Linked DNA regions of Drosophila melanogaster. The protein of the gene in region 2 interacts with the protein of the main gene of each other region in a pairwise test. Each region holds a gene or a part of one and is shown on either strand. Other genes may lie near its edges.

Region 1 (3,681 bases), 9.4 Mb from region 2:
GTATAACAGCGGGAAATGACCGGGCTGACACCTCCGTTCTGGGAAATCCGCGAAGGAATACAAATTGCTTTTTCTGCAACTATTTAGTCTCGTTAAGAATTTCTGGAAACCGTTTGGCTTGTAATTGGTGATGTATTTTAACTCATAGTTGTAAAGTCTATAATTTGATCCACTTTAAATGAATTTTTCATTATTACTAGCTTGATATTCAATTGAAAATCTTTCAAGATTAACTAAAGTTAAGAGTTAGCATGCCCAGATCTGTGCTTGCTGCACGAGAGATTTCTACGGTTTTATACACACATGGAATTTCCATAGTTCTATTTAAATGTATGCACAAAAAAGAAAACAGAGATATCTGCAAAATACTATTCCATTATTATATAGTGGCTTTTTACAATATTTTCAGCAATGGACCGCGTCGTGGAACTCCTTTAAATGTTAAGAACCCAATAACGCTTTATAAAGGTGGATTTAGCAAGCACCGCGAGACTGTCTTCATAATACACGGATTCAATGGAACTGCCATAGATATTCACCTGCAATTCCTTCGAGATGGTGAGTGCATCTATCTGTTAAATTATTATATTCTACAATATTAAGCTATAATTTATATAACTTTAACTCTCTCTTTTTAGCTTACCTATCCCGCGATTTCAATGTCATTACAGTGGACTGGCGACCTTTGACCCGCTATCCATGCTACCTCCACTCGCTTATAAACACCAGGTTAACTGCGCAATGCACCGCCCAGATCTACGCCTTCCTCACCCACTACGGAGCTGTCCGGGAACGGATCACTTGCGTGGGTCACTCCCTGGGCGCCCACATCTGCGGCATGATCAGCAACCACCTGACGCGGAAACAGTATCGCATCATTGGATTGGATCCCGCCCGGCCTTTAATTGAGCGCATGAAGAGCAACAAGTTTCGGTTGTCGATCGATGATGCCAACGTCATTCAGGTGCTCCACACCAATGCCGGTTTCCTGGGCCAGGAGGATAACTCCGGGCATCTAAACTACTGTGTCAACGGTGGACGCATCCAGCCGTTCTGCAAAGGAAATCCAATCAGTAAGGCTAAATTAAAGTAGTTTAATACCCTCTTTCTCGGAAAAAGAAATCATATATAAATAAATGTGCTCTCTATCAAACAGGAAAATCGCGATGTTCGCACTTCTTGAGCATCTGCTACTTGGCCACTGCCACATTTAAACACAATAAGTTCATGGGAGTACCGTGTCCCAATGGCTGCCTGAATCTTAGTGGATCCAAGAGGCTGCCAGTGAGCGGCAAAGTGAATCCCTTCGAGTTCGCCTCGCTGATAAGGGAGTACCACATAGGCAACGATGCCCCCGATGAGTAAGTTTATTAAAAACCATATATATAATTTATAACCAATTTCATATTTGATTTAGCGCCCGAGGCTGCATTTGCATTGATGTGCCGTATGCCAAGCACTGCCCCTTTACGGATGCGTAGGAGCTGGTCTTCAGTAGTTTGTAATTCTATGATAAAGCTGTCGATAATAAATTCAAGTAATATTATTTTTTTGGTCTTTGGGTATTTTAGTAAATATGAAGGAAAAATGAGAAATAATTACTTACCTTCTACTACACGTAGTAGGAGTTTATTATTAAAATGTTGCAAATTCCAAATTTAGTTTTCGAAAATTTAAAAATCAAATTCGATATACTAAGAGTTTGGTTCACCGTAATATACCAAAATTTATATCGAATATATGATATCGATGTTTGCAATCGTCATTGCAGTCGCTACAGCTGTTTGGTGTTTTACCATCTCTATGGACATTGTGTATATAAAACATTTGTTATTGCTCATAACAGAATTTCTCCATTTACTACAACCTGAAGATATATAGTTATTTATATCGTTAGTTTATTTAAAGTAAGTAAGATACTTATACCGTGTAAAATGTAAAACAATTGAAAAATATCATAACCCATTGTAAATCGCATATTATAGTTTGCCCAACAAGGAATTCCCAGGAAATATATTGTAATTCTTGAGATAAATATATAATCATGGGTTGCGATGGAGGAACTATTCCCAGGCGCGATGAGCTGGTGCGCGTGAAGCAAAAGCCAGAGCAGGTAAGTCTATTCGATTGGAGCACCTCCTAGCCAGACCGAAATATCATTTCTCGAACCCTACAGAAAGACAAAGATGCGGAGAGGGAGTTCCGTTGGCGCCACTGCACCTTGACCCAGCAAAGCCTCCAGGAGCCGATCGCCATGTGCGGCATGGGTAGGCTCTATTCCAAGCAGAGCGTCATTGAGCGACTGCTGGAGAAGGAACCGATGCCAGAGACAGCTGCGCACGTGAAGAGCATGAAGGACATTCGCCAGCTTAATCCCACACCCAATCCCGCCTTCACCGAGGAGGACAAAACTGAGGGACTGCTGGACACACGACATTCTCCTTACATCTGCAAGCTGATTGGCCTGGAGATGTCCGGCAAATTTCGCTTTGTGGCCCTTTGGAGCTGCGGATGCGTTTTATCAGAGCGTGCCTTGAAACAGATCAAAGGCAGTGTGGCTAGCACTTGTCCGCTGTGCCAGGCTGCCTATAGCGTTGAGGACGTGGTGGTCCTCAATGGCAACGAGGAGGACATGGAGCTCATGCGGGTCAAGATGGAAATGCGTGCGGCCAAGCGTAAGTCCTCCAAAAAGGACAAGAAGAGTGCCAAAAAGGTGGAGGTGAAAGCGGAGCCCGCAGAGGAACAGGAGCCAGTGGCGTCCACATCCAAGGCTGCAGCCGCAGAGAAGCCCACTACAAGCACAAAAACCAAGGCGGTGGCGCCGGTCAAACGACTGGGCGCCGTTAATGCAATGCAGGATCCCGAACTGAAGCGTCTCAAGAGCGACTTCAGCGTGGCCAAGGACCCGAAGGCCAGCGATGTTTACAAGTCCCTTTTCACCTCCCATAAAACCGAAAAGGACCAGGAGCGCGCCCACTGGGTCACCTATAATCCATTCTACAATTAGTCTAGATTTCGTTTAAGTTTGCTGTGTTAACTCAGTCACATGTCCATAGTTTGATCGTTGAAACCACACACACAGTTTCAAAATATACAACCGACAATGTATCGTGCAGCCTATCAAAAAGGTTTCCTTACCGTGCTTTACAGCGTAGGCAGTTCGCCCCTGAACAACTGGTCTTCCTATGTGAGTATCTGGCATTCAATGCAGCTGCCTCGTCTCTAGAAAGCATCCTTGTAACAGACCAAAAACGGGTATATCAAACGGATCTACGATGAGGACATCAAGTCCCTGGTGCTCGAGATAATGGGCTCAAATGTGTCCACCACATTCATACACTGCCCCAGCGAATGCAAGGAGCAGCTGGGCATCAAGTTGCCCTTCCTGGTGCTCCTTATAAAGAACATGCACAAGTACTTTTGCTTCGAAGTTAAGGTAAGGCCAAGTGCTATGAATTTATAGTAAACTCTGGACTGCACAATGATGACAATATATCCTTAGATTCAAGACGATCAGCGCTTCATGCGCCGTTTCCGAGTGTCCAATTTCCAGAGCAAGACCTCCGTGAAGCCCTTCTGCACGGCGATGCCGATGGGCATGTCACCGGGGTGGAACCAGATCCAGTTTAACCTGGCCGACTTCACGCGCCGTGCTTACGGCTCCAACTATCTGGAGACGGT
Region 2 (3,578 bases):
GGGTAGAGATGCTCTTCAGGAATATATACTTCAAAGGGTCGGATAAATTTGTATTTACCTGTTACATGCTTCCCAGCGAATCTAGCATACCCTTTACTCGACAATAGCGGGTGTAAAAAAACATGCCAACTCCTGGAGCTGTGGGTGGAAGTGTAGCGATTGTGGGTGGTGGGCGGTGCTAACCGGAGAAACCCAAATGAATGTGAGAATGCCGACAACTAAGTTCTTTGGCGCCGCCTTCAGGGACGCCCACGCCTGTACTAGATACCCTGTAACCAATGGGTTCCATCAACTAGTTTGTTAATATAGTTTTATTCCGCTAACCAAAAACAAATCAAAAATTCCCTTCTTGCAAGAATTTTTAATGAAAATGTTTGTTCGGTGTGAACTAATATCGTTTGGTCGTTTCTTTTACGTATATCATATACATATATATCTGACGTCTTTTAACGTCTATATATTTTTATAAGCAATCTATTTTTAACTAAGCAGCACTTACACAACTTTAACTTTTACATTGGAAGAATTACAAAAATATAAAAATATATTATTAAATTGATGACTCTTGGTTAATTGAATAATTATAAGAGTTGCTTTTTGCATCGTTTTTCAAGTGATTTTAAAACCATTGCAATAAAAACCCAATGAACACTAGAAGTTTTTCAAAAATTTAAGAACTGACCAAAACAGAGAATCCGACCTTCGAGCTGCCCACCTTGCTTATTATTCATTTGTTTGGAAGCGAAAGGCATAGAAAAGGTCGCACAGCCAACAGGTAATAATTTGGCACAGCATAATCACGATTTTCGTAGTGGCGCCGCAGGAAAGGAACCATTTATTACACGAAATGCGCGAAAAGACACTCCAAATGGGAAAGTTGGTTTCGTTTTCCAAAGGCAGGTGGTTCGAAAAAGGTCCACTCTTTTCGTTTCGGGTGACAAAGCCACCAGCTTTTGTTTGCCCACCCCAACTGCGCTCTTGTTTTAAACATTTGTAGTTGGCATAGCGGTATTTATAGCCCTGTTTATTTGTTGTCGCGACTTTTCGCAAATTGATAAGAAACCTGCAATCGGCTCTATTTTTAAGGCAAGCGAAAATTACTTACCGCTTCGCCGGTGTTTCTTTTGTTATTGTCGGCGCTCAAAATTTGTTGTTGCTCGAGGCCTATTTCTTGCAACAATTAAATCTAAATGACCGTCTGCCAAGTATTGATTGGGACCAAAAACATGTGCACACGCAAGGAATTGTTAGGCATTTACTAACGTCGATTTACACCGAACCCAGGCGTCGGCGCTCTATTTTTTTATGGTGGCATCCAAATGTAAATAAATGCCGTGCTTTTTTCATTCGGTTTTTGTATGCACGTGATTTAAGGTTGCCCCACCGTACACTCACTCACACACACACACACACGCACGCAGCGCACTCTCGCACACACATACACGCGGGCGCGGGAGCTGCAGTAATAGTATCGCTACTTTGCACCAGTAAATTCCGAAAGAAACTAAACTAACGGGAAAACCGAACCGTACGGCGCAGCCATTTTCATTCATGCCCCCAAAGTCGCGTGTGTATGGGTGCCAGCGTGTGTGTCGGCCTTTACCGTTAGTTTGAGAGGCCATTTGGGGTTTGGTTTCGGCCATGTTGCCCTACTCACCGTTCAATTTAGCGGTTTCAAACGCCACAGTCTGTAACTTTAGTCCTTTTGTCGTTGTAAAAATTATTTAAATTTTGACGGTTAAGCAAATGCAAATTATGATTAAGAAATTTAAAACTACAACCGCAACCTTCAATAGCGTTATATTGGTTTCTATTTTAAAGAGAGTTATTGAACATTTGATACAAAAATTGAGTTGTAATATATTAAGGGTAATGCCGACACTTCTATAGCTGCTCAATCCTTTAAGCTTTTTAATATGGTTAGTATTTTATAGAACAGATTATATATTCTATGAAAATGTTTCTAGCATGGGCAGCCTTTAGATAGTAACAGTCAAAGTTTAAGTTAAAATTACTTTAATAATTATTAAAATAAACTTTTCTCGGGGAATACCCTAGTGAGAAATGTTCCGCCCCTGAATGTATCGATAGTCATGTATCGGAAAACAGCTGATCCGCCGGCTCCACGAATTTACCTTGTTACGTCGCCTCTGAATTTTTTGAAGTAACTTCAGGTTTTATTCAATTAAAATGTTGCCGATTGCACGTGGAATTTACATTGGACTGGTCAACATTACCCGGAATAGCCGGGGAGCTCTTCACACGGCCAGCGCCTTGAGATGCAAGGCGGAGACTTCGACTGAAGAAAATAATGCGGCTGCCACCGAAGGCGAAGGCGAGGATAACGCTAGTGGTTCCGCACCAGACCCGAAGGATCGCAGCAAACCAATCCCAGTGGAGACCTCGATTCGATACTTAAAGAGCGCCGCTTACAAGCAAACCTACGGCGAGGACTTTGTGTGGACGCAGTATCGGTAAGACGAACTGAAGGCATACACGTGAAAACTTCCATTGCATTCGCATCTAATCTCTTTAGGCGCAACCACAAGGGCATGTATGCGCCGCGCAAAACACGAAAGACGTGCATCCGCCAGAACCGTATCAGCACCGGAAATCCCTGTCCCATTTGCCGTGATGAATACCTGGTGCTGGACTACCGCAACACGGAGCTCCTGGAGCAGTTCATATCGCCCCACAGCGGAGACGTCCTTAGCTACTCAAAGACAGGCCTGTGTCAAAAGAGCCACCTGCGTCTAATGGTCGCCGTTCAGCAAGCCCGCGACTCCGGGTACCTAACATACGATGTGCCCTTCAGGGAGTATGATTACAGCGAGTACTACGGCCAGGAGCAGAAGCAGAAAGCTTAACCAACTAATGATTAACATGTTTTTATTAAAAGAAATTACTGTAAACAAATTCAGGTTATTGTTCGGAGTATTTATGTGTTAAAGGAAGTATTTTCTGGAAGACGCTCTGAGACGGTGTAATATTATATATTAACTAACTTTATCAAGAGTTAAAACCAATATGTAAGGTTTCGAGAATAGGACATCCAACGAAATTGCAACATCGAGACACTGGAGTTTGCCCGTATTATTTATTGACGCATATCAATAGGATTTTCGGTTAGCGCTAAATTTTAATTTATAAACACTATGTGTACACAATGTACCCCTAGACCAATTGAATATTTTCCTTGTTCTCCCCTCCGAGTTCGTCCTCGAGGAGTTGTTGATGCGATCGCTGAGCCAGCAGCTGACCGGATTCGTTAAAAACTCGCACATTTTTCTTGCAGTTGTAAAAGCTGCAATTACCTAGCAAGTTGTCCTCGTTGTAACTAAAAAATAAGGATATAAGTGGTAATTTTTGAACATGTAAAATACAACGTATTTTCATTTACCGCTGAAGTTCGCTGAATTTGTTTAGAACCAGGACCTTCTCTGTTCTTTGCTCTCCCAATACGAAACCATCGGCCAGGATTCCTAAAGCACAGTTTTCAAAACTGCACTTGCTACCCTGCAGATTAACCGAAGCGGATTTCTCCAGCAACTCCAGTCCAGTCTTGCATGTTTTAAACT
Region 3 (4,147 bases), on a different chromosome or scaffold from region 2:
CCAAGTACTCGCTGTGTTCCGCACCTGGAGGCCTTGCGTTGCAACTACCACTCATAATAGGCAATTAGAGCGCTGCTGACCTTACTCTTACTGGCATTGCGTGCGAGGCTGTTGCTTTCAAGTGATTCGATGACTGTTTCCTGCCTGGAACACCGCGTTCAAGGGGAGTTACATCCACAATTACCATATATATATATATATGCATACACTGCCTAAAAGGAGATGATCTCTGTAAATTAGTTATAGAGATTTGTCACTAGTTTGACCGCAAAAATAGATTAGGTAATTCCAAGGTGAGATGAATACCTTGGCGGTTTGAAAGTGTCTAAATTAACGAAACGGCTGCCACATAGATCCTAATGCGAAAAGCAAATATTTAAACAGCCGACTCGTGCAAGTTTGGAGTTCGCAATGAACGGCCCACAGATTAATATAGTGTTAAGTTAACCAGCTATACAAAATTCAGCAAGAAGGCAAAGTAAACAAAACTGAATAATATGATTAATGAGTTTAAGATATTATATTCATTTTCTTATCGGGCATTTTGGCGAAAGGACGATTTATAAATGTTTCATCAACTATATTCTATACTCGCATAGTCATTATTATTGTGTATTATTTGAGGACGATTTATAAATGTTTCATGAACTATATTCTACATTCGCATGGTCATAATTATTGTGTATTATTTAGCAGCTATCAGAAGTACCAAAAGCAAGTTTCTAAAACTTTTGTAATTACTGGGGCTTCTCCCTCGTTCGCTCAGGTCCTCCATTCGTCATCTCTCCCGAAAGTGTTATTCGAGCTCCAATACAAAGAACCGGACTAGTGGCTCCGTGATTCAACACCATTTTTCCACCTCATTCCATTTTGTGGCAGTCGACTCCGGCTTATTCCTTACGGCTTTGGACGCTAGCCAGCTTGGTTGATGGGCCGGCTAATACTGTTCGGCTGTGTCAGCATCTGCAGGTCCGAGCGGAAGCTCCTTGGCAGCCCCGAGATGTCCAGCTGGTGCTTGAGCACCACCATGGTGGCCAGGGTTTTTAGAGTGGGCTCAAAGTCGAGCACATGCAGATCGCTGTAGTCGATAAGCGCCACACCGGGCGGAACAACTCCGCCAGCCGCTGCGGCTCCGCCCGTCTCTTGAGTGGGTGAAACAGCTGCCGGCGAGCTGGAGGAGCCGCTCCTTGGACTGGTGCCGCCAAACAGGAACATCCTAGTGCCCATCACAATGGCGCACTGTCTCCGACGCGCCGTCGGTGCCTTGCCGTTGGCCCGTATCAGGTTCCACAGCTTGGTGCGCGGATCGAAGGTGTACAGATCGTTGAAATGCTGATCCAACAGGCCATTATAGCCACCGAAGACATATATCAGCTTGTTGTAAACGAACATGCTGTGGCTGCGTCGACCAACGGGCACCTTACCGGCCGTGAACGGTCGATGCCACACCTTGGTCTTCATGTCCAGGTAGACGATCTCGTGACAGTAGGTCTCCTCCTGGCTGTGGTACGGACTGTGCTTATCGCCCCGCCCGCCGAAGATGTACATTCGCTCCTGTTCGTAGGCCACCGACGCATGAAAATCTCTGTAGCTGGGCGGCACGCCAAATGTCTGAACATAGCGCCACTCCATGGTGTCCAGATTAAGGGAATGCACATCGCTGCTGAACTCGTTGATCTCATCGACGAATCCACCGAAGATGTACATACTATTGCCAATGACACAGGCCGAGTGACCATCCCGCGCTCCGGGTAGACAGCCAGTGACCTGGGGCCTCGACCACTGCGCTGTCTTGGGATCGAAGCAGTAGAGGGTATTGCAGAGATTCTCGTCGTTGCGACCGCCCCAAATGTAGATGCGATCCTTGTAGGCCACCACCGTGTGTCCGTAGCGCTGGAAGGGCACCAGCGGATACTTGAGTGGCACACCCGCGTCGTCCAGCTGCTGGGGCACCAGAGTCCAGCGCATTGTGTGTGCATTCAGGGCGTGCACATCGATGGGCTCATTGTAGCGATAATCGTATCCGGTGCAGTAGCCACCAAAGCTGTAGATGAAGTCGCCCACGCCCACCGCTGCGTGATTGACCCGCTGTGGCCCACCGTCCAGATGCACCGTCCACAGCATGTCTTGGCCAACTGGATAAGCTGTGCGCTGTGGGCTGCGAGCCGTGTAGCACCAGTGTGCTGTGCGAGGAGACGGAGATCTTTGCTTTGGGCCCAAGCTGCCCGAGCAGCCCAAGCAGCCAAAACACACAAAGGAAAGCAAGTGCGCCGCAGTTGTCGCTCCTTTTGGGAGCGGGGGCAGGGTGGTGCGGGCGCAGGTGCGAGCAATTGAAGGCCACACAGGTATAAACACTGATACCAAGCGCTAGCTGCGCTCCGCTCTGCCAGTTTTGCCAGATGTTGAAACGAAACGAAACGGATCGAATTTTTGAACAACACAAGCACACAGAGTTGCGTGCGTGAGCGGACGCACGAAATAGCAGGGCTCCACTGGGTCGTGCTGTTATCGATATCGATAGTATAGATTTCTGATTGACAATTGCATTTAAAAAATGACAAATTCGAAAATCCAATGTATTTGCATTAAATATTTAGCTATTTTAGCGAAACAGTTGCAATGGCAATGTGCATTTACACTAGATTGATTTTTAAGATGAAGCTCCAAACAATGAATTAGAATATTCTAATGTCTTTGGTCAATTTACCTGAACTTTTTTTCACTCAATCACAAATTCTCATTGAATATTCTTAGTTTTTGCAAGCTTAGTTGCGATATTTATTTACTGTTGTATATATGTGTTTTTATATACGTCAAGTGTTTGTGTGTAAATTAGATTGATTGTAGTACAAAAGTTATAACAAAATAAATAACAAGAAATCATTTAATACAATATTACGCGAACATACATTATATATGATGCAATCTATGCACATTTTGGTTTACGAATAGTGGTCCCCATGTGTCTGGCCACAAAAAAATAAAGGGACGCCGCAGCGGGATTGGTACGAAAATTGGAGGCAAATCAAATGCTACGATTGCAGGGAAGGGGTGGGCGGGGGGGTTGGGGTGTAATGGAGGAAATGGGGTATTCGAAGCCCCGCCTCCTATACATTCGTGGGCGCGTCCATGCCGCAGATAACCGACTTAACCACCGACGCCGCCGAAATGGCAGCGAAGTTTTGCCACTTCCTGGTGGACGTGCCGTCCTTGTAGTCAGCGATGCCCTTCACCAGTATAAAGCTCTCTCTGCAATTGCCAATGATGCTGTCCAGCACGCTGCTCATCTCCACATCGGTGGCCAGTAGGCCGTACTTCCTGGCGAACTGGGTGCGCAGCTCGTCGCTCCTCACCAGATCCCTTCCGGATCCAATGGGACCCAGATGGAGTCGCAACCGATTGACACCGTCCACCTCGTCGGCGGCAATGGGATGGGCCACCTCGATCACCTCGTTATTTCCAATGTTCATAAACAGTTTGTCCGTCCGCGCGTCCGGCCGGTTGAAGTCGGCATCCGTCTTCTGGGCCAACGCCTGTTGGGCCTGGTTCAGGTAGTCCTCCCACGGCCGCTTCACCTGCATGTTGGCCTGCAGGCTCTCGGCGATCTGCTGCAGCGAATCGTTCACCGGGAAGTAGGTCTTCACGTCCTCGCCGCTCTTGTACAAGTACACGTACGGTTTCTCCTTGCTGTGAAGAGCCATACATGAATGCGATTGATAGATTGAAGATTTTATATTCGTGTAACTTACCTATTGCTGATCAGTGCCCGCTGTTTGTCCACATACGAGATGACCACATCGCCCAGTCGCACGTGCTTCTTATAGTCCGTGTAGTGGGGAACGCCACCGGCTACGCCCACGATGAAAACATAGTCGACCTTTTGGAATGTGCCCAACAGACGGGTTGTGGTATTGCCCGTCGCCGTCATCGCCTCCCGATTGCTGCCCACCGACGGGAGCTTGGTGCTCACGATCCTGTGCGCCCCGATATTGCCCAGAGTATACACATTCGATTCGCCTGTGGAGTAGAGAGAAAGTTTGGATCAATTGATTGGCTTACAGAAAGCGGTTTACGTTCAGGACATTGATAGATACATATATACCAAATTATACAAAGAGGAATGAAAAGAACATGAAATAAGGAACAA

Evidence for each region.
Region 1: the proteins of mRpS18B (region 2) and CG6443 interact in a two-hybrid assay, tested with the Drosophila melanogaster proteins (one large-scale study listed by BioGRID).
Region 3: the proteins of mRpS18B (region 2) and CG12081 interact in a two-hybrid assay, tested with the Drosophila melanogaster proteins (one large-scale study listed by BioGRID).

What each region holds. Positions count from the first base shown.
Region 1 is NT_033779.5:10,727,196-10,730,876, forward strand, and holds CG6443 (uncharacterized protein), read left to right. Parts: upstream 1-1,782; 5' UTR 1,783-1,907; intron 1,908-1,985; 5' UTR 1,986-2,044; coding exon 2,045-2,113; intron 2,114-2,176; coding exon 2,177-3,007; 3' UTR 3,008-3,103; downstream 3,104-3,681. Other genes in the region: CG6431 (uncharacterized protein), read left to right, coding at 410-558, 639-1,073, 1,157-1,361, 1,418-1,481; CG17118 (uncharacterized protein), read left to right, coding at 3,104-3,187, 3,245-3,436, 3,503-3,681.
Region 2 is NT_033779.5:20,095,762-20,099,339, reverse strand, and holds mRpS18B (mitochondrial ribosomal protein S18B), read left to right. Parts: upstream 1-2,086; 5' UTR 2,087-2,190; coding exon 2,191-2,474; intron 2,475-2,536; coding exon 2,537-2,867; 3' UTR 2,868-3,011; downstream 3,012-3,578. Other genes in the region: nesd (nessun dorma), read right to left, coding at 3,175-3,337, 3,401-3,578.
Region 3 is NC_004354.4:8,587,128-8,591,274, reverse strand, and holds CG12081 (uncharacterized protein), read right to left. Parts: upstream 2,465-4,147; 5' UTR 2,125-2,464; coding exon 913-2,124; 3' UTR 501-912; downstream 1-500. Other genes in the region: CG12065 (uncharacterized protein), read right to left, coding at 3,108-3,687, 3,750-4,017.